Drosophila melanogaster: one gene and its partners. The protein of the gene in region 1 interacts with the protein of each later gene in a pairwise test. Each region holds a gene or a part of one and is shown on either strand. Other genes may lie near its edges. The genes, in order: Hey, btsz, CG30160 and TwdlM.

Evidence for each region.
Region 2: the proteins of Hey (region 1) and btsz interact in a two-hybrid assay, tested with the Drosophila melanogaster proteins (one large-scale study listed by BioGRID).
Region 3: the proteins of Hey (region 1) and CG30160 interact in a two-hybrid assay, tested with the Drosophila melanogaster proteins (one large-scale study listed by BioGRID).
Region 4: the proteins of Hey (region 1) and TwdlM interact in a two-hybrid assay, tested with the Drosophila melanogaster proteins (one large-scale study listed by BioGRID).

The regions. Positions count from the first base shown.
Region 1 is NT_033778.4:7,992,799-8,001,490, reverse strand, and holds Hey (Hairy/E(spl)-related with YRPW motif), read left to right. Parts: upstream 1-3,212; 5' UTR 3,213-3,398; coding exon 3,399-3,658; intron 3,659-4,071; coding exon 4,072-4,286; intron 4,287-5,027; coding exon 5,028-5,830; 3' UTR 5,831-6,053; downstream 6,054-8,692. Other genes in the region: CG11191 (uncharacterized protein), read left to right, coding at 1-610; Dic3 (dicarboxylate carrier 3), read left to right, coding at 6,564-6,976, 7,147-7,597. UniProt on the Drosophila melanogaster protein: Transcriptional repressor which acts as a downstream effector of Notch signaling.
Region 2 is NT_033777.3:14,849,112-14,857,493, reverse strand, and holds the start of btsz (bitesize), read left to right. Parts: upstream 1-3,574; 5' UTR 3,575-4,021; intron 4,022-8,382.
Region 3 is NT_033778.4:7,000,957-7,007,879, reverse strand, and holds CG30160 (uncharacterized protein), read right to left. Parts: upstream 2,724-6,923; 5' UTR 2,663-2,723; coding exon 2,411-2,662; intron 2,347-2,410; coding exon 2,182-2,346; intron 2,110-2,181; coding exon 1,858-2,109; 3' UTR 1,744-1,857; downstream 1-1,743. Other genes in the region: Tsp42Ec (tetraspanin 42Ec), read right to left, coding at 1-154, 1,248-1,307; Tsp42Ea (tetraspanin 42Ea), read right to left, coding at 3,904-3,975, 4,238-4,432, 4,499-4,660, 4,724-4,915.
Region 4 is NT_033777.3:26,615,399-26,622,528, forward strand, and holds TwdlM (TweedleM), read left to right. Parts: upstream 1-3,719; 5' UTR 3,720-3,768; coding exon 3,769-3,783; intron 3,784-3,860; coding exon 3,861-4,712; 3' UTR 4,713-4,826; downstream 4,827-7,130. Other genes in the region: TwdlP (TweedleP), read right to left, coding at 5,264-5,926.

The DNA of each region.
Region 1 (8,692 bases):
ATACATGATGAGCTGCGGCAACTACGAGGTGTTGGACACACCACTAACGACCATCGAGTTCGAGCGGGTGAAATACAAGGCGAATGTACGCTACCTGCGGCACACGCCCTCCAATTCCAGTCTGGATCTGCAGCTGGAGGAACAGAAGGAGGAGCAGCCAGAGCAGCAGCAGCAGCAGCAGGCTACTCCGCGGAAACAGCAAGTGCTGCAGCAGGCAACTCCTAGGAAACAACAAGTGCAGCAAAGGATTCCCACGCCCAGCCGCTACCATCCCTGCAGTATCAGCCTGGGCTCCAAGCTGGAGGGCAACTACCACAGCGTGGTGATCATGGAGCCACCGCACGACGACTTCCCCATTGTTAAGTGGGACATCAACGGGAACTCCCTGGACGACGACGCCTGCGATCGCTGGGATGACTTCGAAGCCAGGTGGCGGCAGGCGGCGGCGGCCACCAGATCCCTCTCCCAGTCGCAAAAGTCCAGCCACCAGTCCAGCTCCTGCACCCTGGAGACCTGGGTGGACGACACGGAGCCCCTCAGCCTGGAGCTGCACCGACACGACAATGCAGTAGGCGGAAACAACTGCAATCTTTGCCTTAGGAGCTTCTGAGACCGGAAACGGACACTCGGCGGCTTTGTAACCTCCACTTTGCGTCCAGCGATAGAGCACGAAAACCAGTCTTGTGAGAATTACCTACATACGAGTATATTATACATATATGTAATCGAGTATTTGAGTCGGTAGACCGCAATTTTCATTATAGAAAGTTGTTTTCGAGAATATCCATTAACAATAAAGTGTGTATGTGTGTGCGGCGCCATACCTTTGGCTCCATACCTTGAGTAATGCACTTCAGAATGCGAATACGAATGCGAATGCCCTGTGCCCCGTGGGTGGGAGTAAGTTCATCGCCCACCCATCCATCCATCGATCCATTCCGGCGCACGACCCGCACGTGTGCTGGACGCTCGTGAGAATCCGTAGACCTTTGGCTTTCCCACGAGCCACGGCTGCGATTTCGTGGGTTCGTCCCGTTGTCGGTGGTGCAACTTGCCCGCCACTATTCATCCACTTGATTTGGGGTGGGTTCCGGCGATTCGGAGCGAGTTTGTCCCACGCTGGCACTGCCACTGGCATTGGCCATTAGACATTAGGCATTTTCACTTTGCTGCTTGCCGCACTCGAAACCTGAGCGACAGCATGCCGAATCAAATGAAAAGCACTTTTTATAATTTTCGATTTTGATGTACGTTTTTGAAATTGATACGGGGCTCCATTATAGTCAAGCTTACGCCTCGACCATCGAAATTAATCGAGAAAATGGGAGAAATGCTACACTAAATCATTTTGTGGGGGAGAATAACTAATGATATTTCCAGTTATATGCGAAATTGCAACATATAATAGTAAAGGGATATAAAAGTATATACAATAGTATAGGGATTCATATAGCAATATTGGGATTCTTTAGGGTGACAGGACAAAGGAGTTGAAATGAACATTTTAACATAGATATCTACAGAAGAATTATTTTTGCATAACGATAATTCAAGTATAGTTTTTATTAGGGAAAGTTATGTCAAACCACAACGTACATATATATGTAAATATATCAGCTCCACCGTATACTGTTTTTCATTCGCATTTTAATTGTTTTTAATCTACTGCTAGCTTTAAACACACATTCCGTGCGGCTGATATAAGAAATAATGGGAAATTTTGGATGAAATAGTTTATCATAATAAAATTTATAGGTAATATTGACATTGATCAGCTTGTTATATTGAATTTATGAACACAATACTGTCAAAATATATTACATTAAAGTTAATGGGGAAACATTAACCAAAACAGACAGAACGTTAATTTCGATGTTAACTATCTCAGCTTGTAAAATCATTAGAAAAACTGACAAATTTTGGTGGAATAGCGATCAAAGCTGTCAAAAAAAATAGTGAAATCAAAAATATCAAAACATTTTTCAAAAGTTTTAGATTGACAGCTTGTGGCCATTAGACTGGGAGTGGCCAAAATATTTTTAAAAAATATGACAATTTTGCAAAAGTATGGACGTGGCAGTTTTAGCCGGTTTGTGTCCTTAAGAGTAGGCGTTGCAATCTTCTGTAACAATCTAGCTCTTAATCCTAGTAACTAGTTTTACATTCATGCTTTTATAGTTCCCGAGAGCTCAGCGTTCATACAATTACAAGGAACAATTAAGGAAGTTATAAGATTAGCCAATTCAGCAAAAAATTTAGAATGGATTAAATCATGTGAATATTCGAAATGCAGTGACAAAGCGCATCTAAGAGTTTATAATGGCAAATCAAAAAGATAAAGAAAAAGATAAAGCTCACGTCTGCTTTTTCGTAAAATTGTACAACATATTTACGTTTTACCGTCGCCATCCAAGTTCCTTATATCCCTTTGTGATGAAACGCTGCTTTCGATAACATTAAAGTGAATTATTTCCGCATTAGCATATTTCTAGGTAAACAAGTCGATTTTACCTCGGGCAATTTCTAGGTCAACTTCGGTCACCTGCTGCCGCAGTCGTTGTTATCTCGTCTCCTGCTCCTGCTTCTGCACCTGTGGATGTTCCCGTTCCCATTCCGGACCCGGGATGCCGCAACCTTGAGCCGGCACTGACCTAGAACTGTGTGGGCCACCCACCAGCACGCGTCCCACTGCACAGATAGAGGTCAACGGCGGCTGTTGCACTTGTTGGGGCTTTACCCGGCGCCACGCGATGCCACACGACCGGCGCGTGCTCCAGTTTGAGTTCCATGGACGGGTGCAGCCGCTCCAGCGGCAAACAAGTGGACGGCGGACGCCGCCAGTTTGTCGCCCACGGCGCCGATTAAAGGCCGTGCTGCAGATGCTTTAGATGCTTTAGATGCTTTAGAGGCTGCTGAAAGGCTATATCAGATGGTCGGGCGATACAATCGGATGAATCGATGACAGAGGCTTGCTCATTTGCCGGCGCTGGTCGCTCCTTGTCGCACACTCTCACTTGCTCACTTGGCGGCGATCGCCGCGCGGCGAATATGTTTGCTTCCCGTTTCCTACCCCAATCTCGGCAAGCACGCGCTGCGCGTTGCCAGGGGGTGGTTGCTGCTGCATCTTATTGGACGGCTGCCGCAGGCGGTAAAAAGGGGTTGAGCGGCGGCAGCGGAGGGCAGGTCGTCCGCTCGACGTGTGCTACAGAATCAGTCGAACGCCGTTCGCGCACACGATAAGTCACGTGCTCAAACTAGCTCCGCCAGCCCGGTCTAGCCGCCAACTGCATCTGCCTCTGCAACTAGCAGCACGCAAAGCTACAGCTCAGCAACAGCAACATCAACACAGTAGTGTCAAGTGCGCAGGAGCAGCGAGTAAACACTGGTCACCACACACAATGGATCACAACATGCACGTCAATGCGCCATCGCTGCATCACTGGGGCTACGCCGCCGGACCCGGCGTGGTCATGCCCGGCGCCACCGCCACCACACCCCAGAGCCACTGGGTGCCGCCGCCGCAGAGCCACCACAGCGCCCACAGCAACCACAGCCACGGGCATAGCCAGGGCCATAGCCACGGCATCGGCAGCCTGAAGCGGACGCTTTCCGAGAGCGACTGCGACGATCTCTACTCCGAGGAGTCCTCCAAGGAACAGTGCGTACTCGTGACTTCTTATCAAAATTTGTTTTTCAATTTAGTGCACAAAAAGCTATTCGCAGTTCCCAAGTTAGGAGTTGTCTTGTAAAATGAAACCTTTGAAAATACCATGCGATGTGCAAACGTTTTATGTTGCTAAAAAAAATAGTGCGTCATGATATTTACTTAGTGAATCGAAGTCATGGATAACTCCACTTAACGCAAAGTTGCTGATAAACCATCAAAATATAAATCACTAAACTATAGGGTTTTAAGAAAAGATAGATTTTAAAATGTTCTGTAACTTAGAGGTTTTTTTAGTAACACCATAGAGTGTTTTTCAGTCTATGAAAGATTAAGATATTAAGATTAAGAATCTATCATTAACTTCAATCCATAGCTAATAGAAACCCTTTCCTCTGTTCCATTAGAATCTCGCCCAGTGAGCCGGGCAGCTGCCAACTGATGAGCCGCAAGAAGCGACGCGGAGTGATCGAGAAGAAGCGGCGGGATCGGATCAACTCCTCGCTCACCGAACTCAAGCGCCTGGTGCCCTCCGCCTACGAGAAGCAGGGATCCGCCAAGCTGGAGAAGGCCGAAATCCTTCAGCTGACCGTGGAGCATCTCAAGAGTCTGCAGTCTAAAAGTAAGTTTACCAAGCCCACTTGAGCTAGCTTAAAGAGGTTTTAAAAAGCAAATAGGCTAGCTGCACCACAGACCTCCTCACTGAAGTTAAACGCTTCTATGGGTCATTAATCACAATAGGAGCAAATAGAGGGTTAACTTGGGCAGCCAACTAAGTTGGTTAACTAAAAGAAGTAAAGTGTAAAGAAAGTAATTTCTTATTTCGACAGTTAATATTACATTAGGGCCCATTTAGCGCACTAATTAATCAAGGCATATCTGACATACATATGAACTTCAATACATTATAAAAAATTGGAATGGGAAAAACTGCAAGCAGAATCCCTAAACGCAAGCCGCTGTGGGAAACAATTGAGTAACGATATTAAATACAATATGCGGCAAATTATCACAAATCTGGGTAAACAATCCTGACCTGTTGTCCCGAACAGGGTCGAATTGTGGGAAAATTATGATTGCCGTAGGCAAAGCAGGACCACCACCACCAGCGCCAGCCTAGCGCTCAAGTGAATCTCGAATCTCGGGGCTTCCCACGCTCAGTAGCGGCACCACCACGATGGCAACCTTGTAGCCAGGCGCGGGCTTTCACCCCCCGATAGCCACCTCACAACAAGCCATCCCGCCGAAGGACATGGGGGTTGTTCTTTATGCTCGTCGCGTGGGAACAGCTATTTTAATTGTTTGCCTGAACTGGGATTAGACAGCTTATTGACTTTCTCCACCTCCTCGTATCTTGTTGCAGCTCTCGACTCGCTTAGCTATGATCCGCAGCGAGTGGCCATGGACTACCATATCATTGGGTTCCGCGAGTGCGCCGCAGAGGTGGCCCGCTATTTGGTCACCATCGAGGGCATGGACATTCAGGATCCTCTGCGCCTGCGCCTTATGTCCCACCTCCAGTACTTTGTGCAGCAGCGCGAACTGTCGGCCAAGAGCTGCGCCAGTCCGGGTGGCTGGTCTCCGGCTGCTCCCAGCTCCTCCGGCTATCAGCCAAACTGTGCGGCTGCTCCCTACCAGAGCTATGCGGCGCCAGCCAACCCGGGTGCCTATGTGTCCAGCTACCCCACACTAAGTGCCTCGCCCTCTCAGCAGGCTCAGCAACTGGGAGGACGCACCAGTGTCTCGCGGACAAGTGGAAGTGCCGTAACTGAATCGCTGCCCAGCCATGATCTCCACTCTGACAGCAGCAGCCAACAGCAGCAGCAACAGCAGCAGCAACAGCAGCAGCAGCAGCAACACCAACAGCAGCAGCATCAGCAGCAACAGCAACGGACGCAGACAACACCTCAGCCGACGCAGCAGCAACACTATACCCACGACCACAGCGCAGTGCATTCCGAGCAGCAGGTTCCCACCTACATAGAGCTGACCAACAGCAATCGTCCAGCGGCCATAGGTTCCGATAGCCTTAGCTATAGTGCTGCTCCTCAGTATCCGGTCAGCGGACTGCCAGGCCAGGACTACAACAACTCCAGTGTGCTGCAGTACGCCACTCCCAACGGAGCAAAGCCCTATCGTCCTTGGGGCGCCGAGATGGCCTATTGATTGTGGGCATAAGCCTCAGAAGGGATATTTCAACCTCTAGTCAGAGCAGACCAAGTGTGATAGTCTTAAGTTTCGCATCCTACACAGAGAGAAAAAAATGGAGAAACAACGCAGTGAGATTAGCTAGTCCCGTAAGCCTTTAAGCTTAAGTTATACCCTATGATAACTATAACTTTGAACACTTTGTGAATCTATTGTAAATAAACGCATGAGTGTATAAGTGAATATGTTGAAACTCGCTTGATAATTGATATTCGGATCAGGAAAGCCTTTCTAGTTGTTATATTTCGTGAAATCTCGACGTTCATACAGACGGACAGACGGACATGGCCAGATTGAATCAGGTATTGATTCCGATCAAAAATATATATATAATATATAATATATAAGAATATATATAATCCACGAGTAACGGGTATAATTATTAAAAACAATCAAAAAAGTTTAAACAAGTAGTGACGATCCACATTCAAAAATTTGAGGTATATCAATGACGCATACTTTGATTAGTGCTATTATTGGATTATCAGAGAAAATATTAATTTTAACGAACATTCTTGAGGTGCGCTTTGTCACTGCGAGGACTACCAGTTCGCCGTCATAGCGGCTGAATTATCCTTAGCTAAATGGGAACAATTCGTTGCAGCGAAAAATTTACCGAATTCTTTTTAGTTTTACACGTCAGATAGCTTAGGGTTTCTAAAAAAAAATTCCAAGAAATTAAGTTCGGTCTATGGGAGAAGACAGTTCGAGGCGCCTCCCGCGCTGGTGGTTTGGAGGGGTTTGCGCTGCAATCGCAGTCACCGGCACCCATCCGATTGATCTCATCAAGGTACAGCTGCAGACCCAATCCCAAGCGGACCGGAAGACCGTGGGGGAGATCCTTAAAGGCATACACGAGCGGAGCGGAATCTTGGGCTTTTACAATGGCATTTCGGCCTCCTGGTTTCGCCAGCTGACCTATACCACCACTCGCTTCGCCTTGTACGAGGCCGGTAAGGACTACGTCGACACGCAAAAAGTTAGTTCCAAGATGGCCCTGGCCACCTTTGCGGGAATCGTCGGTGGGATTGTGGGTGTACCCGGGGACGTGGTCACAGTGCGACTCCAGAACGACGTCAAGTTGCCGGAGGAGAAGCGACGTAAGTGAGTACTACCGGGGGCTCCTGTACCATAGATCTCCCAGACTTTGTCCATCTGTTCGTTTGTCTTCATCTCCACGTGCTTTTTTGGTTTGCTATTGATAATTAGTCATTAGGACAGCAAATTTCTTCCCCCCATACGTACGAGTCATATAATTAAGACGAATTCCGCAGCTACAAGCACGTTTTCGACGGCCTTTTCCGCATCTACAAAGAGGAGGGCGTGTCCAGTCTCTTCCGCGGCACAGTGCCGGCCGTTTCCAGGGCAGTCCTGCTGACCATCGGAACGAATGCAGCCTACGACCAAGTAAAGCAGATGCTCAAGATCGCAACGGGGGCAGGAGAGGGAGTACCACTGCACTTTGCCACATCCACGATAGCTGGATGCATTGCCGTGGTGATAACGCAGCCGCTCGATGTGATCAAGACGACTTTCATGAACGCCCAGCCGGGGGAGTTCTCCGGGATCGGAGGTGCTTTTCTGAGTACCGCCAAACAGGGCCCATTGGCCTTCTACAAGGGATTCATTCCGGCCCTGATACGAGTGTCACCCAATACGATTATCACCTTCGTTTTGTACGAGCAGGCGCGAATGCGATTTGGATATCTGCCACCTGACAAGTAGGGATGCCCCAAAATTCGTATCCATTTGGCATTTTTACATAAATTGTATTTTATACACGTGATTTGAAAATATAGAATCTTTCATACCAGACCATTGAATCGGAAGTAATCCGGGTCTAATCAGCAGCCACTGTGCTCATTAGCATCGCTGGACCAACGAGAACCGCTGACCGCTGACCATCGACCACCGACCACTAGCCGCTGGTCAGCGAGCTCTGGGGGTCAATGAATGCCGCTCACGGTTTATGAAATTTGCATACCCAGCAATAATAAACACATGAGCACCCAATCCGCGGCGGTTAGCTAAGCCGGCTGCACACTCGCTGCACTCGTAATTAGGGAGCGGGGTTAGCAAGGTGCAGGGGTCGCAACCCCGAACACCACGAGGAACGGGAAATTATCGAGGAAAACTGGAAAGCTGGCGACCGCAGGATCTTGTCCCTGCTCCAGAAACATAATCCCCAAAAGGGAAACAGTGTCACAAAGGTAGCAGGGTTAAAATATTTTAATATACGCTGGCATATTAGTTTAGTTTAGGGTGCTTTCGTAGGCCAAATGTGTTTCTAGAGGGACTGGTGGCTACCTAAGCTGCTCAACATGTTCCCGAAAAAAGGGTTTCTGTTTTGGTTCCAATGGTAAACTAACGAGCAAAACGTTCTAATGACCCAGAAATTAGATGAAAAGCGGTTAAAAACAATGCAATGCAAAATGAAACAATTGTTAGGAATGCTAGTCTAGAAACCTTTACTTAATTCTAAGTTAATTTCCTCAATTCGCATGCTTAAGAATTGAAATATTTATCGCAAATCCCGAGCTCATAGTTTAATTTAATTCAACACACTTTAGCTACTTGTAATTTGTTCTCTTGGCCCACAAAAATCACTTGAAACCAAAATTACAATTACATTGAAACCCAGCAACCGAAATTGCTGTCCATGGAGTGTGGGAACATTGCGAAACACCACCCCTGGCAATAAAAAACGAGAAACAATCTTTTGCGCATTAATTTCTTTTTGCCGGTTAAACACATATAAGTGATTCGGGCGACCTACCACGTTCGCGACCATGTGAGAGACCCCTGAGCTTTGACTTCCCA
Region 2 (8,382 bases), on another chromosome or scaffold:
TAAAATCATTAATTTTGGTAAACAATCGAACGATATATTTCGCATTCTTTAAATTGAATTTCCTCTGAAAACGAATTAATTTTTTGCGAAACAATGTTGATGGGACGCCAGCTTTCCTGGTGCATAATTAATTATTTTTATGATATATTACGTAATGCAATCACAGCAAAAAGGCATTAAAAATTTATGAGGGTCATTAATGAGTCGACGTGCTTTGGCAACTTATATTGAGTACTTGCTCCTTTTGGCCAACTTAGTACACTTTAATGACGGTTTTGTTGCGGCCATCATATAAACATATAAGCGGTTCCATTGGCCTTGCCGGCTCAAGTAATCTAAACACATAAATCCCTTCCGCCGGCAACAAAGTTGGCGCCCTCCCCATTCGATTCCTTTCGTTGGTTGGCCTGGCTCATTTGGCGGGTGTTGCGCCTTACAGTCGCCTCTGATTGCTTAATCATGTTGGCCACTGTTGGGGCGGAAATAGCTAAATTGAAAAGCGCCATTGGAGATTGGCAGCGGGCGCAAGGCGAAAGGAAGTGCCTGTCGCCCAGCAGGTCACATGTGGCAGGTCCTGCGATGTCCTTTATGCCTTCAACCCGTGGGTGGACATCGATCCAGTTGGGGCAGCAATTGATGAAAGCATTCCCATTAAGCCAACTAAGTCCACCGTTCTATAGAAATGTAAAATGCCAAATGTCAAAGGGGCTGTAGTAGCCCCACACCTAAAGTTTGGATTATGCAAAAAAACCTCATTATGTGACCGTTTATTCTGCACTTATTACCATCGTATATATACATTATATTTAATAATATACTAGGAAATACTTGTACTTGTAATGAGACAATGAACGAACTTGTAATATTGTGCTACTACAGATTTATGGAAATTACAACTTTAATTTAATTGAAGGTTTAACTGGTTAAGTTATCCTTGGTGCCTTTACATCTTTGCTATAAGAACTATATATAAAACCATTTTAACATTAAGCATATTATTATACATAGCTTTTAATTTCGGGAAGTCTGGAAATCCCAGACTAAGAATTCCTCTTTAAGATACATTTATTGTGAAATTTAAATGCAGTGGCCCCAAGATGGCAGCATCAGCACACTTACTTCATTTCCGCTAACAAACACACTTGCACAGTGAGCAAATACTGGCACGAATACTGGCACAAATGAAGGAACGGAATGGGGGACCGGGGAATACACATTCATCTAGCTAATAACACTGATAATGTTGGTAATACTTGTTGAGTAAATTAAATCTAATGGAGCGCTCGTTCATCATTCGCCGGCAGAGGGAACTTAATTAAATGTTTTGTTGGCCGCATTCGAAACGCTCCGATATTCGACGCGAAAGCTGCACAGAAGTTCTTCTGAATGTTTTTACATATTCGTTTAAGAATAAAATACTTTCTGTAGCTTACATTGCTTTAAAAGCTATTTTTTTAGATGTCATTAATTAAAGTGCATTTCATTGCATAAAATGTACACTCATTATTTCTGCCATTGAAATAAAATCTAGACTGTGATAAAACTTAATCTGATAACAGTGATTAAACCTATCTCAAGGAAAGCAGGTCAGCAAAAAGTTATCTCACCGCAAAAAGTGTTCAGTCTAAAGCACGATAAAAAAAATCATCTCTGCATTGCTGAATATATACACCATTACTTTAATGTGCTTTAATAAATGCAAAACACTCCCATTTTTTTATGTGTATAGTGACAGAGCTCCACGGCCGAGGGCCCAACTACTTTGACTTGTTGCGCCGCAGAATTTCTGGATTTTCGCCTTTTGCCGTTGCTTAGCCTTGGCTTTATGCTTCGCGTTCTGGCCTTAGCATTTGGCTTGATAATGTCGTTGATTACTTTTAATTATAATCTTGCTGCTAGGCTACGCCAGCGAATCGCTGCTCATCTGGCGGGCGAACTTCCACTTCCCGGTGATGGCCATCAAAAAGTGAACTGAAAACTTTGGCTCAGTCAGCGAAAGAGGCCTGTGAAAGCCCTCAGTTACCATGGCTGGCATCGCTGTATACTTTTATTACACCTGGCTTTATGGGTTTGGTCATCAGCCGACTTAATTGGCCGCTTAACGCCCACTCATCGCCTGGGATCGACTCATTAGGTGACACCGAGTCCATTGACCGGCTCGAAGGAGCAAGAACTGCGTTGGATTCTGTGGCAGCGGCTTTGATTACACATCACCTGACACGGGTGTCCTGGAGCACCTGCAATTTAGATGTAAATTGAGGTGGGGTGCCAGGGGCAATTCTACTTGTAATTAACGCCACATATGCCAGATGTTTTGTAACGCAAACAATGGCCCTGGGGCCAGTAGGCATTCCCAAAGCGCATGGCCAGCATTAATTAAATATACTCTTAAAATGCTATTCAACAACTATGATATTTGTCAGTGCCGCATGTCAACTATTAGTGGCCATTGTTATGGTTGTAACTGCACTCCAAATTCCACTGCACTCGGGGGCATGTGAAAATGTTTGCTGCACGAATTCACACGTTTGTGGACGGGAAAGAGTGAAATCGCACTCATATGTAGGCGGATATTGGACACTCTGCGAATGAAAACCGGAGAAGAACTTTTTGCCGACATCAAAAACTTTAATTCACTTAAAAAACTGCGAATATGAACGCAACTTTATCGCAATGCAATCCAAATATGTAGTCCGATCATTTCAAGATAATTTATGGCATGCCAAAAGGTTTTAAATATCAAATAGCTTAAGGATATTAGACATAGCACGCAATGTTTACGATAAGTAATATCTTCAGTAATTTAATTTAATAACAAACGAAAGCAAATAGTTTTGCTATCATTTTGTGGGTACATGTTTGCCTATTAATATTATAAACTCAATTATGCATACAAACAAGAAGTTTAAATGGCTTTGCTTTGACATATTTTTGCACTAATAGGCTTATCTACAGAGAATCATTGAATGTATTTTATGTGCTCAAATTTGTTCATTTCTTTCTAGCTGACTGATATGATAAGGAATTTAAGACAATATATTTCATTGGAACCTAAAAAAGTTCCACCACTTAAGTATATGACATGATAGCTTTTGAATTCACCTTAAGACCTAACTAATTTTGAAAATCAAAAGTTCAGCTTCTCCCGAATTTACTTTACTTTATTAGCGCATATACCCTTGCAGGGATCAAATTGCCGACGGGCAGTGTATAAATATGCACCTAAATGCATCCAGTTTGGGAAGTAAGTGCAATTCACGCGAATCCGGGCATCAAAAACCGAGGGAGAGTGAGAACGAGAACAATGCGCTTTTCCGAGTGGCTTTCTCATACGTAATTAAACTGATAGCGGGCGACGTCGCCGTCGAGCATTCGGCCTAATGATAATGCGAGAAGGGCGCCTCAGGTAGCAATATCTGAGTATCTGAGTAGCCGAGTATCTCAGTATCTCGGTTTCTGACCATCAGAGAGAGGGAGAGAGAGAGGGAGAAAGAGCCGCTTTCAACCTGTTGCTTTCAACCGCTGGCCGCGTTTCAATCTCAAATCCCACCGATCGACTTGGCAAACTGACTTTAGTCAACGAACGCGTCTCGAACCGAGCGAACGTCGTCGTTCCGTTCCGCTGTTGAAACATAAGATACATGTGTGCGTGTGTATCTGTGAGTGCGATGAGATTGCCGGTTTAAGATTTGTGTGATTTCATTCCGTCTACCTGTGCCTCCGAAGTGCTCCTCTTTGTGTGTCTTTTATTCGGTCTGATATCAGAATTATATACACACCAATACCAAACGTATGTATCTCGAAGATACCGCACGCAGCGACTGTAATCGCCATCGAACGGCGGTGTATGCAAAGTAGCAGCAACGAAAGCAACGAACCCAGCGAACTCCGAAAACGAATTGGATAATTTCTAAGCCAAACAACGCAGAATTTGGCGGATCTCCAAAGTTTGCACAAGCCATTTCTACGAACACAAGCGGTCAGGCGGCACTGGATACAAAAGTATCTCGCAACCACTAAGGTAAAGAATATAATAATCAAAGAACAAATTTAATCTGGGCTTAAGAAAGTTCTGTTCGAGCTATGGGTATTTACAAACGTCTACATACTCATATCTTTATATGGTTATATGGTTCAATCATGGCAGAACAATTGAACCAAATATAAGTGATCCCTTTGGAATCATAGACTTTGGTTCTCAGGAACGCGAAGTTTTTCTGATTTAATCCGTTATCTCCTGGACTTTGATATAAAAGTGTGTATATTTTCTTTAAACTGCACACATCAACATGGGTAGAAGCTTTCTCTCTTTGGTTATACAAGCGATTGTAATTGCTTTCTTCACAGCTTAAAGATGGGGCTTGCACAGGAGGAATCCGCAACCGGGCTCTGATTATTTTAACGGTTTATAAATTTAATTAAGCTGCGGAGTCAAAGAACAAAGAATCAGCGTCACCGCAAAGGTACAAGATACTTAACTGTCTCCTTGTTTTTTCCCCGGACATTTCGACCCGTCGTTTCTGTTTTTATATCTGTAGCTGTAAGAGTATATGTACTATATATGTGTCTCTTGAGGGGCACATTGTGAACACACAGCTCACGCGTGTGTGGATGCACCCACTCCGCCCGAGGAACTTGTATCTTGCAGATACTTTTCTGTTTTCTGCTTTATTTTTCCCCAACCAGCCCTCGTCTGGTCTTGTTGTTTACCTTTTCTTGCTGCAAGCTCAGCTTAATTCTTATGCACGTCTGAGACTTTTTGATGTTTGCATAGCAGCCGCCGTGACATCGCCGAAGATTCCCCACCATTACCATTACCAAGTTCAATTTACGTTTGGAACTGGAGCTCGATTCGCAACGCGACCATGGCGATGCGGGAATTACGAGTTTGAGGAGCAATAACATTTGCTTTCAACTCGGGCCTGGCATGACTAATTCACCGCAGCAACAATGACAAATAGGACAGGTATCTGTTGGATACAGCAGTGTATCTTGTAGGTGTGAAGTGATTTGAGGGCGTTCTCGAACAATAGTCGTCAATGTTGTCAATAGAAAAGAGACTATGTAACACTTGCCCTCTGAATATCGCACAAAATAGATGCATTTCAAAAGTTCCGCTTTATTTCTCATACCTTAAAAGTAATATTTATAAAGCGACACGGGGGGATGCAATGGCTTAGAAAACCATTAAAGTGTTAATCAGAAGCTTAATATTTAATTGTCAAAATTCCATGACCCTCAATTCAATAAAGACACACCTATTTATAAAAAGTATCCAAGTAAATCTGAGGGCGTTCTCAAACAAAAGTCTTCAAGCTTGTCAATGATGTGGACTGAAAAGATTTCCCTAAGCGTGACAGACAAAGGCACGTATTAATCATATTCCACAGATACTTTAAATGCTGGTTTAAAACCACAAAGCAAAATGATTGGATACGAAACGTACTCAACGCGCCTAATCATATGATTTCACAGTGTTACTTCATAGCAACAAAAAAAAGCAACTAAAGATATACATATGTAATTTAATAATTTAATTTAATTTGGCCTATGGTAAATATTTGTTCTAATTTCCGTCCTATGATGAGGTGAAAAACGTGTTTCCGAGAGGTTTTTAAAATACCTATTCATTTAAATAAACAAACCATCCATATGTGATAAAGATACTTAAGATAAGTGGTTCAGCACGTACTAAAGTATCTTGTAGGTGTGAAGAGGGTGTGTTTAGCTCGTAAAAGATCGTGTTGAGCAAAGCGAACTGAAAAGAGATTATTATACTATCATTAATCATAATACCAACAAATTTCCTTATATATTTACACCATTTGATTTAAATAATACATTTTTAATGCAACGAAAAGGTGTTTAAGGCCCATTCCAAACACCTAACACTACAAATAAAGTCTCGTTTAAATCTAATGGCACTTTATCCTAAAAATACATGTAGTTGCATTAGGTATTCCTCCCACACTCCAATCGCATTAGCTGATTTCAAGAGACACGTTTAACAAGAACTTGAGTCACCTGTGTGGAAAAGTTGCCCTCACTAAGTAAGACGTATGTATCTCGCATTTCTGTCTGTCGGCAGCCAGATGAGTTTAATTAGCACTTTGCGGCATGGCCATAATAAATTTCAAAAATTCTTGACTTTCGACTTGACACTGATTTTTTTTTTTTTCAGAATGCTAATGGTTTTTTCACATGCTAGTTGTGGAATAAACGTACATATAACGTACATTTACTTTTGTCTTCTGCTCGGCGATAAGGTTGAAATGAGCTAAGTTGCGAGCGCTTATCAGATGCGCCGTACAATTAAAGCACACTTGCTGAACTTATTTATGTGCCCAAGATCCAAATATTTGGGCATTATGTCATGTGTATGCCGTGGAATTGTGGATAAGGAGCTTGACAGTTTTCCAGATAAGTTGCGGTGCATTGACCAGGGAGCTGTGAACCCTGGCCGCTGCACGAGGTAATTGGAGATTTTCCATCAACTCTGACTTTGGGCCACCTTTTGGGGGGGCCACGCCTCTTCCCTCATTAATCATTCATAAATATTCATTCCAAGCTACGCCCCCTTTCGTCGGTCCGAAAAACATTTATCATTATCATTTCGCCAGCTTCCTTAATTTTCCATCTTGTTTGCTTGTCGGCCTTTTTCTATTTCCGCTGCAAACATGGAATATCTTTTAGAAGTTCGGCTGAGCATTTTTCCAGCCGCAGAAACTTATTATAATTTATGCAAAAAACGGTGACAGTTATTGAGTTTAATAACGATATTTTTCTTTCTCTCCGCTCTTCGATGTATTTGCATTTTTATCGAAATGAAAACAGCTGCCACAACAGAGTAAGTTAGCTTTATGTGAGACATTTCTTGGCTTGGCTTTGGGTTGGGCTTTTGGCCGGTTAGATGTCTGGCCAGTGATAAACCCACATCAGAATAAGCTGGTCGCGAAAACAGTAATCAAGCTAAATCCAAATCGGGTTAACTGTCTTTTAACGAGTGTCATCAAAAGTGAACCCAAGTGAAGATGCCTCGCAAGATAAACTTATGAAAGTAAGGGCATAGAACGTGGTTAAAGGTTCATCGAATACCCTTGACTAGCTACTGACTTTAATTTCAAAGCGAGATTGGCCACGATTCGTTCATTATAATCCGACAGATCCGATGGTGCAATTATCTCATAGACATGCCAGAATAATTATAGGCAAATTAACGCTCTGGCTTTGGTCACAGAACCCAAATTGGTCAAATCACATTAAGCAGCGCAATTGAGCCGCCCGGCAGTCAAGCAAAATACACACATAATCAGAAACAAAAATCTGGCCAAAACAAGTCTGTCAATGGTTGCCGCCGACTTTGTTTTGTTTTCGCGTTTTTTGAGCTTGACAAATTCAATGGCCAAAATGGCTGTGAAACACTTTTGTGAATGTGACGGAAAAATCTGTAAACAAGCCGCAAAATGGGGCTGATTTAAACAGTCATTGATACGATTATTTAGAACAATAATAGTTTAGTTGACTTTAGTAAAAGTGTAGTTACTAGCCTAGATTTCGCACAGAAAGTTGACATATACAGCATTCTATTTAAATTTAAATATATATATATTTCATAAATTTAAAGTAACATTTTTCTGACCGCCACTGTAAGTTTTTTGTTTCTAAAAGAATTCCCACATCGAAGGCGGTCAACGGAAATGCAATTGAAAACTTTAAGAGTTTCAATGAACTTTTTAGAATAAATGAATCAGAATCATTGAAATCAGTTCAGAAAATAAGTAGCAATGTGTTGGATTCTCATTCCTTGTTTTTTAGCTCAAGGCCCACAGATCGTAACAATTTTGTAGGGCATTAGCTTCGAAGTGGACCAAAGTGTGAGTTGTTATTGATTTGTTGGCAGTTGCTGTTACAATTATTATTGCGCACACTTTTCTTTCTCTATTTTTCAATATTTTTTATTTTTCGTAGCATCAGCTGGCTGCAATATGTCCCCGAATGGACTGAAATTCTTATTGAATGCCAGCCCAAGTCAAGTCGAGTGTGGAGCGTTTTATTTCATTTTGTTTCGCCAACGCCAACGGTCAGCGGTTGAAATGTTAGCTAGATATAATGGCCATAACAATGGCCATAAGCTGGCTAAAATTGAATTGTCTCTATCTGGTGTACGTGAGTGTATCTCGTATCTGACTGGGGCCAGTAAGCCACAGATGAATAAGCTTGAGCTGCACTTAACCATTTAATTATTGATTCGCACAGCCAACGGATACATTAGCTATCTAAAGGTAGAAGTTCAAATCTTACGAAATGTCGTCGGTTACAAGGGTTAACCGATAAAACTAAAGCAACTTTGTAATCTATTTGTTAAGCGCTTATTGTAACTCA
Region 3 (6,923 bases), 990 kb from region 1:
AGCACCCGAAGAAGGACACCACGAAGATGAGGCCTCCCAGGACGGTGACGCAGATGGGGATGGTGTTCGGGTCCGTCCCACTCCCCGCGACATCGAAGCGGCTCAGATCGGACAGCATGATCGAGCCCAACACGATCAGTAGGATGCCAACGATCTGGAAGTATTCGGAGTATTACTAGAAGGCATCTCTGGTTGCCTAACAGTTTTATGGTCATAAGCATACCACATTATAATGAATGTTTTATGGACTTCTAATTATCCGGGAATATCTATGTACTGAAAACTTGTCCGCAAACTGGACTAAGATATGAGCTTTTAAAATAGCCTTCAGGATGTCGGTGACCAAGATTTACTTAAATTTCTTCATTTGATTCTTTAAGTTGACAAAGTGATTAACAAAGTGAATAATCAAGTCTTATACTTGCATACAAATTAATGAAATTCACAATCAGACGGATATGGCTAGTTTAAAAACGTAGCTGATAAAAAAAACAAACGTTAATCACCTTTATCTTGTTTTTGGCATAATTCTTAAGGTGAAAAATGTATCTTTTAGCTGCGTTAATACTGCGAGTAACTACACATTTATTTGGATAAATAATAAATCATTTGTAAATAATAGTTTGTTGTATTTCCTTAGTTTATTCTCTAAATGATCTTTTATTCACTCCAACTTAGCCTTGCTAAAATGTGAACTTGTGTGCATGTGTGCCCCCTTTGAAGCTCATTTTGGGCTCATTACTTATATTACAAAACACTGATAATGTCAATCAACTGATAAAATTCTGTATGTCCGTCCACACTTGCATTACAGATAGATATTATTATCTATGCCAGCACATTTATATGAATAATAGTGTTAAACCTTGTGACTCAAAGACAATCGAAAGGAAGCGACCGATGCGTAATTTATGGATTTTCAAATTTCATTTCACTTGTTTTAAATAATACATGTTCGATATTTGTTGCACAAATATTTATTGCATATGACTTGATTAATGAATGACAGAAGTCAGCTAGAAGGTCTTATATGCAAATAAATAAACATCTACAGTTTGATAAATAAATTAACATAATTAATGGACATTTTTTGGAAGTTCATTATAACACAAGTAATTGGAGAGTATGAAGTTATCCATAATTGGAACCTATTTGGGATCTGCACCCAGTAGTGTTTGGTCTATTGTTACACGTCTCATTACATTATTAATTCCTTTTACTTAGATACTCAACCGACAAGCACTTACCAAAAACACGATATTGACAATATATAAAATAAAGTTGACTATTCCCGATAGACAACCCATTTTGAAAGTATATAGTTTGCTCCTGTATTTAGTAGAATTAAATAAACACTATTGTTTTATCCAAAGGAGTTGTCGGTGTCTCTGATTTTATCGCGCACTCGCGTCGTTTACTGTCGTTCGATTGGACTGCTCCTCCAGATGGGCTACTGTTTTTAAATTGGCCAACAGACACGGGCGCTATCGGAGGAAAGATACGCAAGTGCCTGTTATCATAATCATGGCCGAAACGAAAAATAGATAATGGGCACTGGGCGGCGGGCGGAGATCGATAGCCATTGCCATATGGAGGTGATTCACCACTACTGAGGGCATTCGATCTCGGAAACGCGGCACTCGGCTAACAGGCCGATAAGGACATACTTTTTGGAAAAACATCAACCTGTCTTGATTAGATAGACGGCAGCCAGAGGTAGACAGCGAATAAGCAATAATATTTCATTGGGCTTAACCTATTCTGGTTTATTTACGGTGAGTGAGTGAGTGAGGAATTCGTGTGTTGGATTTATGCTATGAACTGGGCTACGTCTAAGGATTGTATCTGACTTCGGCTCTAGCGCTTCCTCATCGCGCTGGCCAGGCAGCACGACATGATGAAGATGCCCAGCTCGAAGAGGGCGATGATCAGACTGCTCCATCGAATCAGGTCCGTATTGGAGGCCCAGAAATCGACGAACTCCTGCCGGCAGCCAGGTCGCTGGCTGTAGATCTCCGCTTCGCACACCTTGGTGCGATCCTTGTAGCCGCAGCAGGAGCTGGGCACGGTTTCATACTGTTGGTATCCCGTGTTGCCACAGCAAGAGAACTGCAATGGAATAGATACGTAAATATCCGGAAAAAACTAATGACATCTGATGGTGAATTTCGATAAACTTACGGCCAACTGGAGGGCATCCATGGGGTATCCCTGGGCGGCATTGTTCTCATCCCACGCCTTGTCCACTGCCTTGCCCATGCTGGACAGGAACTTGTCGTTGGCCGCGAAGATCCAGATGGAGAGGGCCAGTTGCAGGCCGAACAGAATCAGCATGCAGATGGCGTACTGAAAGGAATGCCAAGTCATTTAGAATCCAATTTCGGTCAGTGGGTGATTTCCGAGTGCTTACGATGGTGGTGCAGCAGGCGTTCTCGCGAATGGTGCCGCAGCATCCGAAGAAGGCCACTACGAAGGTGACACTTCCGATGACGATAATGCAGATCGGGATGGTCTGGGTGTTAACGCCTCCGTCGAAGGCCGTAAAGTTGCCCATCGTGGAGAGCATGATGGAGCCCACCACAATGAGCAGGATGCCACCGGCCACGAACACCAGGTTGAGCAAGTACAGCAGGTACTTGAACATCGCGGATAGACAGTTCATGGTGCTGGGTTCTGTTCGGGTTTCTCGTTGGCTAGCTGGATAATCCGTTCGTTCGATGTGACGATGTTCGTCTAACTGAATGGGCCCTCGGACAGAACGCGGCTATTAAAGCTTACTCGGAGTCCTCATCTTATCGGCTGCGCTCTTATCTCGGCCATAAAATTCCGTATGTACTTGTGCTGGAAGCTCCGATGCCCATGTACTTGTACTTGGTGAATCGCTTTGCACCCACGAGATACCAGATCATTGTGGTGGTCCGAACCTGGGAAATTACATCCTTGGCGCAATGATTCATTCAACGAATGGTAGGTGCAAACTGCTGGTGGCGGAATTTTATCTAGCCCTCGTGCGATTCCATCTTGGGGGCGTTAGATCGTTCATAAGATGAATCATTCACACCCTCCACACCTTGCCTTATCACCAGTCAAGAGTACGCGGTGCACGCTGACTCACATATTACGTTGCTTGGAGTCCGTTTCCCCGTGAGTCCCCGATCTTATCGCCTAGATTTATGTACTATCAATCGAGCAATAAACCTTTTAGCGAGTGCACTCCCAGCCTAACTTCAACAAGATTTTGGCAACTATTGGGGTTTCCACGGCGGAATAATTTCCCATTGACATTCACAAAACGGCTATGTGCCCTTCATAGATAAAATAGCTCAATGGAGATAAGATTTCGTCTGAGCCCTAAAAAGCTAACTAACTAAATATAGTCTTCTGATAGGTTAGTTCTACGGAAATATGTCAATAGAGCCAATGATTGATAATGATCTGTAATCAAAGTGTACTTGTTGGTTTCGGCCAACTCTATTTATACTTATTACTTTGCAGATTAAAACGTTATCGCGAATGGCCGAAATCCTCCCGTGGCAATTTAGAAAAATAGGTGCTTTAGGGATTAAGTCGAATTGCAAACAATGTAAGCTTTCCCATTAAGACAAAGACTGAACTCTTTTCGTAAATTGTAAATAAATTTCTCCGTTTATTGCAATCTCCAGGAGTATAAGTTATTTTGTACAGTTAAACATATTAGCACATTCAGTGTAACTTTGAACAAACGATCTTACAAAAGTGATCGTTACGCATTCGTCATTGGATTTGCTGCATTTGCTGCTTACGCTTGAGATTATGCAAATTTGAATGGCCATCTGTATCAGGTAAATATTCGTAAAATTGGGCAACATAATTCGTACTTTCGGTTTCAATTAAAATTAGTGCAAGGCCTTAGTCCTTTGTCGATTAATATTCCGCACGGCGTCTATAGTTCCGAATGCTGTTCGCCAAGCAACAGGCGAAAACGAATCCCACAAACTGAAAGCAAACAGAGTATGGTATATTGGAAGATATACATGTAGGTGTAAATCTCATAACGCTTATGGTAAAATAACAAACTAAACTGCATTGCTACGAATTATGATTTACATTACTTAGTACTTTTTGGTTATCCCCAAGAAATCACAATGGAAGGTAGGTAACATGAACCCATCCATCATATTTTCGAAATTCACATGGGGAAGCACCTAGATTCGATGATCGATTTCGTTCGATTGCGTTACTCTGGACAATAACTTACTTCGATGGCGGCGATGACCAGACCGGCATACTTGATGATGTCGCTGTTCCTGTCCCAGAACTCAACGAAGGTGACCTTGCATCCCCGCCGGTAGACGGTCTCCCAGCGGCAGTTGTTGGTGTCGCTGCAGCAGGAGGGAGGGAACTTGCCCTGGTAGGCGTAGTCGGTGTAGCCACTGCGTCCGCAGCATTTCATCTGCGGGAGCGGCAGAAAGTCAGTTGAAGGCGGGTCACATGTCCTTGGAAGTCCCTAAATACTTACGCTGATCTGAATCGCGTCCATGTAGTCGGAACGACTGGTGCGATGGTTCCAGGCCTTCTCGACCACGTCGCCCATGATCTCCAGGTACTTGTCCTTCTGCACCCACATGTAGATCACCAAAGCCAGTTGGCCAATCATCAGGACGAACAGCAAGATCGAGTACTGCCACAAAGAATACATTTTGAATTGCAAGATGAATGGCACGATGCAGGATCAGTACTCTACCGTCATGGACATGCAGTAGGATTCCCGAATGGCTCCGCAGCAGCCGAACCAGGAAATCAGCAGGATGATGGTGCCCAGGATGATCATCGTTACGGGCACCTGCTGGGTTCGCAGGGCTTCCGCGAAGTCATCCATGTTACGGACTTTGCTGAACAGCAGAGCTCCGAATACGATCAGCAATATGCCGCATATCTGAGGAAGGGAAATGTTGAGTTTATCAATCCTGAGCCAACCAGGGTTGTCTAATCTAACTAAACTTGAATTCTCAAGCCCTCAGATTTTGACAGAAATTGGTCAAAAACAATCACTTCATATCCGTTTTATATTGGACTTACTAATCATGTAATAAATTAATACAGTTCTAAGTTATTTATGATTTAATTTGATCAAATGATTTGACAAGATTTGCGATACCAAATCGCCTGAAGAATATTCATCCATATAAATGCTGGCTGGGATATCATTAGCTTTTTTGTTTCATTAAAAAGCTTGTAGGCGTTAAAAGCTCATGCCTGTTGTTCGACAAATAATATGCACTGCGAGAAACTGGAACTACTTCCAGGGACATGCATTTCAATATTTGCGATATGGCGAAATCACCTGCTTTATTATTAAAACTACTTTCTATTATTGCCCAGTTCTTCGGCGATTTTCGTTTATAGAGTTTCAGATTGGCTATTTGCATGGCTATCACAAGCTTATCTCTTATCAATCCGATTCGCTTCGTTAATTAAGATTATGCATAAAAGCGCCTGGCCATCGACGATAACTATTAAAAACATATTTACTTTGGCTTTGATTGTATCAGTTGACGTAGTCATTAGATTAGATCCACCCCCAGCCAAACTATAGTTCATAAATTCGTAGGATTGCGCCAAACTGCAGCATGACTCAGCCGCCGAGCTCAGCGGTTCGTGGGATCAGAATAGTTAGCATCGCATCCGATCAGAAGAGAGCGACATTTCGACACTGGTCCACAATTATAATAATAACCAGTCCACCCACTCGCATTCGTCTGGCATTTCTAGATCGCCCTCCCTCGGAAAATTGAGTTCAAGTGTACCGCCAACGACCCCCGTGTTTCCATTCCATGATGTGCGTGTGTAGATGATATTTCGTTGTTTCCGAGTTTTGGCTCGTCGTCTCACAATGGGAGCAAGTTCACATTAAATTAAGTCAACTATTTTTGGGTGAGACCCCCTTCCCCCCCCCCCCCCCCCTCTTGAACCATTACACAACTTTCCACTGAAGTGGCGGCAGACTTTACACACAGACAAAATATTTGTATGTTTCCATGTTGGTTCTTAAGTTAATTGCAGCTACTTTAAATTATCAAAAAGGTTGGAGAACTGCGGATTGGAACTCTTGAACAAATCAAATGACCTATTTCAAGTAGATAGGTCATCCATCTCGTTTACCGATTTCCCATCAACAAAAAATGGTTTTGTTTTGTAAATTTTCTATATCCGTATACTGCATACGATTGAAGAATTAGCGCCGTGTGCTGATGTTTTTCCGCCCGTAGTGAATGACATCCATGTTTGCGTGACGCGAATAATGCGCTGGTACTCCGACGCAGTCAGATTTCCCACCAGCAGCAAGTCAGGGTCCCAGCCCCAAACTGGTTGGACGAAGTACAGTTCCACTCCCCGCGACATCGAAGCGGCTCAGATCGGACAGCATGATCGAGCCCAACACGATCAGTAGGATGCCAACGATCTGGAAGTATTCGGAGTATTACTAGAAGGCATCTCTGGTTGCCTAACAGTTTTATGGTCATAAGCATACCACATTATAATGAATGTTTTATGGACTTCTAATTATCCGGGAATATCTATGTACTGAAAACTTGTCCGCAAACTGGACTAAGATATGAGCTTTTAAAATAGCCTTCAGGATGTCGGTGACCAAGATTTACTTAAATTTCTTCATTTGATTCTTTAAGTTGACAAAGTGATTAACAAAGTGAATAATCAAGTCTTATACTTGCATACAAATTAATGAAATTCACAATCAGACGGATATGGCTAGTTTAAAAACGTAGCTGATAAAAAAAACAAACGTTAATCACCTTTATCTTGTTTTTGGCATAATTCTTAAGGTGAAAAATGTATCTTTTAGCTGCGTTAATACTGCGAGTAACTACACATTTATTTGGATAAATAATAAATCATTTGTAAATAATAGTTTGTTGTATTTC
Region 4 (7,130 bases), on another chromosome or scaffold:
TAAGGCATAACCCACTCCCATCCCAAATGAGAAATTGTTTGCCTCAATTAAGCAAGAGCGCTAGCCCACTCATCTGAGCATATTTCACACAACAACCACTCAACGGGGTGCACCTACTACAAAGTAGGTATTATGTAAATATGTTAATTCCCTCTCGGCCCGAAGACAAAGCCTTATGCTCGACCACCGCAGAGGGTCGAGTTCTGGTGACGTTTTCATTAGAAATGCAAATTGGCATGGCGACATCTTCAAGTTCAAGTTGCCGATAAATTTCGAGACGGGACTGGGAAAGCCCAGGTCAGCCAGGTGATAGTTGGATCAACCAGTTTGGACAACTTTAACGAATAAAAGTAGCTGGCTGGCCTCGCTCCATACTTGATTTTCCCTAGTCATTCTACTAAAGATTCATTCCGTTGTGAAACTGCTTTCATTACGTATACGCAGCGTTGGCCCAAATTTATGTCAACCAGCGAGTTGTGAACGGGCGCTATATTTAAGCCTATGTGTTCTTATTTTCTAATTACTATATATATGCATGTTGGCTGCGCCCGGTTCGCTGTGGGCGTGGTGTATCTGTAATTAGTGTTTTGCACACACATATTCATATCAAATGCCGGCATAGTCGCTGCTTAATAAATTAAACGACAATTTGCACTGGGACCGTGCTGTTGCTCGTAAAGAGTCCGGGATCCTGAAAACTGGGACATTAAGCTGGCATTAGGCAGAGGCAGGCCTGCAATTAAAATAAAATGGAGAGCTCAAGCGTCGACGACAATATGCACTATAAGGCAGACAAAAATGTGTTTTTTACTGCGCAGAATGCGTACTAAGGAGACCTCGAAAATAATTTATTGCCTTCTTGTGGGTGCCAAGGATCGCGCAAAAAGCCGCAAATTTATTTGCCGCTCTTATCGCTCTATCCATGTAGAAATAAAGCATAGAGCATATTTTTTTAATATTTTCTATATTTTTTCCTATTGTTGATTTCTTATGCCATTTTCGGCTGATGTGCACAAACAGAAATCTCTTGTATGGCTAACTTTTTAATAAATAATCTCGGCCATTTAGCTGGTTGCAAGCAAAAAATACATAAACACGCAAAATAATAATCAGCATCTGTCGTCGTTGCCGTTTGATTGTCAATACAAAATATTTATATCGCTAACACAATTTGCCAAACAAATTGGCCAGCTCGGCGAAATTTGATTTGATTTATTCCTTTCAGCACTCTCGGATAGGTTTTTTAAAATATTGCGTTTTTTTAGCATAAGCTTTAGTTTAGTTTCCATGGTTTGGTTCGGGTTTTTGCGCTTGAAATAATTGATATCGGCTATTTGCATATCAGATTTAATATATTTGCATATATTTCTTTTGCAAAAGAGAAACGATTTTGCGGCAAGCCAGTCAGCTTTTTGGGTAACATTTTTTGTTTTTTATTTGTCGCCAGGCATGCGGAAATAATTTTGGCAACTAAAACTCGTATCTAGAGAAGAATAGAAACGGTCTGCTCGTAAAAGAGTTCGAAAAGCCGGCAGCTCCAAACATTTTTGCAAAAGAAAGGCTAGAAGCAAACAAACTCGTTTAACTGGGGTTTAACTGGCAAATTTGTCGTTCGTAAATAAAGCTTATGATTTAAGGAAATTACTAATGCTCCAATTTATGGTGAGGCGACAGATTTGATTGGATTTTTGCACCTGAAAGGCACCGCCCGGTTTTGACACCAGCCAGGTGATAGCCGAATAAATTAAATGCACAATTTTATTCGTTTCGACATTCTGGTGGGTGCCAGTACAATGGCAATAAAATAATATAGGGGCAGTCTTGTTGTCTCGAAGAGAGAAAGACTAAAAATAATGGATAAAATAATAAACAGTGTCAGATTTTGTAAATAGATCGATTGACCCAAAAGGCCATTTACATAAAGTGGTGCCAGAAATTCCCTCCCGTAGATGTTTTTTGTCCGCTTGAGCCGTTTTTTTTTTATTTATTTATTGATACGCCAACGTCGTCCGACCGCTATTATCTTCGATTTCGTGCTGGAAACTCTTTTCCCGCGTTTTGACCACTTTTTATGTCGCTGCTGCGTGCATCTTTTATGTGCGTGTGGCGCCCGAGACCTTGAAATTGTGGCTGGGTTGTTTTATTATGCTTACATTTGATTAGTTTGCATATGACATTGCCACCAGCGACTAACTTGGCTGAGATGCTGGCCAATCGGCGAGCCGCAACAGTTGGCAGTGGGCAAAAGGTGGGGCCGCACACAAAGCCAAGACAAATTGTTTTTGACTTTAGGTTATTGCTTCGAATGTGAATCTTAATTGGATCCCGGCCAGCGTGGAATGGGGGGCATCATATAGCATCATTAGATATAGAACCATATAGAACTTGTGTGTGTCCGTCACTGAAAATGATATCATGGTTGTGATGTCTTAGCGGATTTCCTAACTGACCCCATCTTCGAGTTACTCATCGCTATAGTTATCCGTGATATCAATCAATATATATATTAGTCATAACCGCGATTGGCATTCGCCACTATTGATTTGCAAATCGGTTCGGCTATCTTAAATATGGATCTTGGGTATTTCTCCTAAATTATGCAAATCAAATCAGTTTTCAGCGGATTTGCTGCTGCCTCTACCCCCCTTCTGCTCGAAAACTTTGCCGAAATAAAATAAAAAACCATAATTTTTATGATATCAATAAACCATGATGAAAAACGTGATAATCGCTGATCAGATTAAATGGTCGCCTGGCGCCAGCTGATTACCGCCGAATTCCGAATAGCTTCGGGTGCTGGTCAACAGTAAAAAACCTCAAGGTCGCAACGGTTGTTAGCTTTATGGCTTCTATTTTGCGAAGCCGTGTTTTTGCCACAGGTTAAATGGCCAAGCGACGAGCTCCGGACAAATGGACAGATGGGCCGTCGGATAGATGGACGGATGAATGAATGGATGCGCAAAAAGGCTGGCGAAAATTGATTTCTATCCATTTCAGATCCATTGTTTTTCAACCCTACCACAGTCCACAGTCCAGTGTTCGGGTTTTATATGGCCAAACCCTAGAGCAGCCAGTTCCATACACCATACACCATACACCATACCATACCATATACCATATACAATATTCCAAATACCAAAGGGGGACGCAATAATCGCTGGGGATTCCCAGCTAGAAATATGCGGCTGGATCAACTAAAAAGTGTAGAAAAACCGAGTCGTTTTCGAACTCGTTTGGATGCTCCGCTAAATGTTTTAGCATACAAAATATGAAGAAAATCATTTCATTTACTGAAAGCATGACCATTTATAGTAGTGGCTTTTGCTAAACGAGTTTTCAGCCGTTTCCTCCGCCGAGAGCCTGCTCTATTGGATTACAACTTGACGGGTAGGGTCGTGTGCCTAAAAATTTTCGATGATGGTACTACGACTTGGACTGAGGGATCGTGGAATTAGCATAATGTCGACGCCAACATTTGCAAGAATAGGGCGGCCAGGTATCGATGCGCTTTGTTCACGTCGGCTTGGCCATTGTTTTATCGCACAAGCTTCGTTTTTCGAAGGTGGATAGCATTTCAAGAGACAAAAGCTGCCGAAGAAGTTACCAAAAAATGCTGCGGAGCCAACAAATACAACGATGGTAAAGTCTGCATGAACTTGAGCGCAGTTTAGTGACACCGATCGTTGGTTTTCGTATAAATATTGGACCTTTCGGTGATGCAAACGTCAGACACAACCAAGTGGTCAAAGTCAAAGAACTAAATTCAAAATGCGTGCCTTCATTGTAAGTATACGTTCGATCGCCGACGAAATACTCCAAAAGGATACCAAGGATTACAATGCTGTTTTCTTTATCTCCAGGTTATGTGCTTGGTGGCAGTCGCCTGCGCCGATAAGCTCGGCTACAACTACCAGCCCGTGGGACACTCCAGCTCCGGACTGTCCTTTGCTCCTGGAAGTGGCAGCATTGGAGGTGGCTCCATCGGAGGAGGCAGCATCGGAGGAGGCAGCATCGGAGGCGGCAGCATCGGAGGCGGCAGCATCGGAGGCGGCAGCATCGGAGGATCCATTGGTGGTGGTTCCATTGGAGCCAGCATCGGAAGCGGTGCCGGTCTGGGTGGTCTGAGCAGCATTGGTGGTGGAAGCATTGGCAGCATCGGAAGCATTGGTGGTGGTGACGCCCTCAGTGCCCCCGTCTCCTACAACGCCCCTGCCCCAACCGCCGAGCTGGAGAAGGAGTTCTTCACCTTCACCGCCAACGAGCAGGACTTCGATGAGCCCCAGCAGCTGGAGCGTGTGTCCTCTGCCCTGAACAAGGCCCTGCGCGTTGTCTTCATCAAGGGACCCGAGAACCGTGGCCTGGAGAACGCCGCCCTGGCCCTCGCCAAGCAGGCTGCCCAGCAGGAGACCGCCATCTATGTCCTGAACAAGCAGGCCGATATTGGAGATCTGGCCAACAAGCTGAACGCCATCCGCAGCAACAACAACAACAAGCCCGAGGTGCACTTCGTCAAGTACCGCACTCCCGAGGACGCTGCCAACGCCCAGCGCGCCATCCAGGGTCAGTACGACCAGCTGGGAGGATCCAGCCAGGCCCACAACGGTGGTGTTGCCCCCGTCCTGAACTTCGCTTCCGCCGCTCCAGTGCGTCAGGCCGCCGCCCAGAGCCCCGACAACTCCTACCTGCCATCTTCGGTCTTCCGTCGCGTCTAAGTCGCTCGTTTCACTCCTTTCGGAATCGAAAACGCCAGCGATTTTTGACTGATATTAAATCGTAGTTTTTGTTGACTAATGCTTAAATAAATTCAATTCTTAAATTTTAAAACCAATTTGACTTGTTGTAGTGCATTTGTAAAAACCAAAAAACTTTGCAGGCTGAGTTCATTGGGAACGAAACTTCGCAAGTTCGGATTTATTTGCAGCGAAATATTTTCTTGCAAACTTTGAAAGCGCACATAAGTAGAAGCACTTATATATTTCTTAGGAACTAGTTTATACTTTAACCATATTCAAAATTTAATACCAGTTTATGGCTGCTGAGATCTTGGGTTTTGAACAAGTATTTTTATTTCTTCTTTCTTCTTTCTTTCTGTTTTTATTCGATTATCGCTGCTATAAATAGGTATACAATTTATTTTGAAAACTGTTGCATACTTATGTTGCTTTCGTCAATTTTTAAAGGAATTAACCAAATGAAAATACAATAATTTACATAACCAAATTAGATAACTTTTATTCGAAAACAACGTTTAACAATCGATTTTCTAGTGACGCAGGCGACTCAGGATGTTGGCGGGTAGGTAGTTGCTCTGGGGCACCTGTTGAGGAGTAACGCGTGCTGGAGCAGCTCCCTGGGATGCAAAGTTGATGGCATTAGCCACGCCACCGTTGATGGACTGGCTGGAGCCGCCGAGTTGATCGTACTGCGATTGGATTGCCCGCTGGGCATTGGCAGCATCCTCAGGTGTCCTGTACTTGACGAAGTGCACCTCGGGCTTCTTGTTGGCATTCTGGCGCACGGCATTGAATTTCTGGGCCAGCTCGTTGATATCAGTCTGTTTGTGCAGCACATATATGGCAGTCTGCTGCTGGGCCGCCTGTTTAGCCAGGGCCAAAACGGCATTCTCGTAGCCACGGTTCTCCGGCGACTTGATGAAGATGACGCGAATGTTCTTCTTGACCGAGGCAAGAGCCCTCTGGAGAGCAGCCTTATCCTCGAAGTCGTCATCGTTGGCATAGAAGCTGTAGAACTCCTTGTGAACTGACGCCTGGGGAGCGGCACTATAGCTAACTGGTCCCGCCAGTGCAGGGACTGGGGATACACCACTGCCCCCAATACTGGTTGTCGCACCTTGTCCGTAATTATATCCGGACAAGCTACCGGCACTTGCCGCTGCCACAATGCTTAGAATAATGAGGGCACGCATATTGACCCGATGCCTACGAGATATTCTAGACGAATGAATAATATAGCATTCATTATCTACCTTTTATACCGCCAACGCGACGACGTTTAAAATTAGACTAGAAAATCTAGTCAATTGAGCCGTCTAGTCACTTTGGGGTCCCTCTGGCGGAACACGGCGATCATCGATCTCCGCTCACGAATCGTGACTCGCGAATGGCCAGTGGCTATTGGCCATCGGGTTTTCGGAATGCTGTTAATCTGCTAACATAATTTCGCTCTTAACACATTTAACACATTGTTGTGGGCAAAAGACAGCTTCAATCGTGCCGCCGACTGAGATGAGATTCCGAATCGAAGTCCGAGTCCGAGCTAAGATCCGATTGCGAGTCCAGTCGTTTTCCGAACTATCGTGATTCACCCATAATTGGCTTATAATTTATGCACAAATAAAAGAAAAATAACCGATCTCTTGGCTGTTTCAATCGGATTGTTTTGTTATATTTGCTTGAATATGTATACAGAACCGCTTATTTGTTAATGATTTCAACAAAAAAGTGATCGTCAGCTTAATAAAATTAATGATTAGACTTTGTTTTTATGGCTAATCAGGTTTCGATTGGGCATAAATCTTCATTGCCTTCGTATGTGGGTTGCACTTGAGATTCCTTTCTAATTGTACGTGACACACGACGGGCCTCGGAAACCAGGTCATCTAACAGTTGTTGGCATCTTCGCGACCTTGAGCTGTCGTCGGGAAAGAACCAGTTCCTCGTTGGCCGGGAGTCCGGTATTAATGCTTCCCGCTGGCCAAGTGGGTGGATCTAATCTTGTAGTCAATTAATTTGGCGGCATGCGAGTTGGCTATGTCAGATAATTAGTCCATTGATTTGTATGGAAAGTCTAGGTGAATATGATTCGACGAGGGCTTAAACTCATAAAGGAAACCTGCTCCGAACTGCCTTTCCTGATCTTGATGTCGTCAATTCGAGATATTTATAGTTTGAAGGGCACTTTTTATACTTAACCCATCCGCAAACAATCAAGCCAAACAAGGCGGACTTAATGCACCATTAGCTACTATGGCCAAGCCGCAATAAAAATCTCACTCTATAAAACACATAAGGTAGACCTTTGTTTAAATTTTCGTATTTAAATTTCAAATTTATTGGTGTAATTATGCATTAGTCAACAACGTGTAACAGGAAGAATGAGTTCTTCAGTCG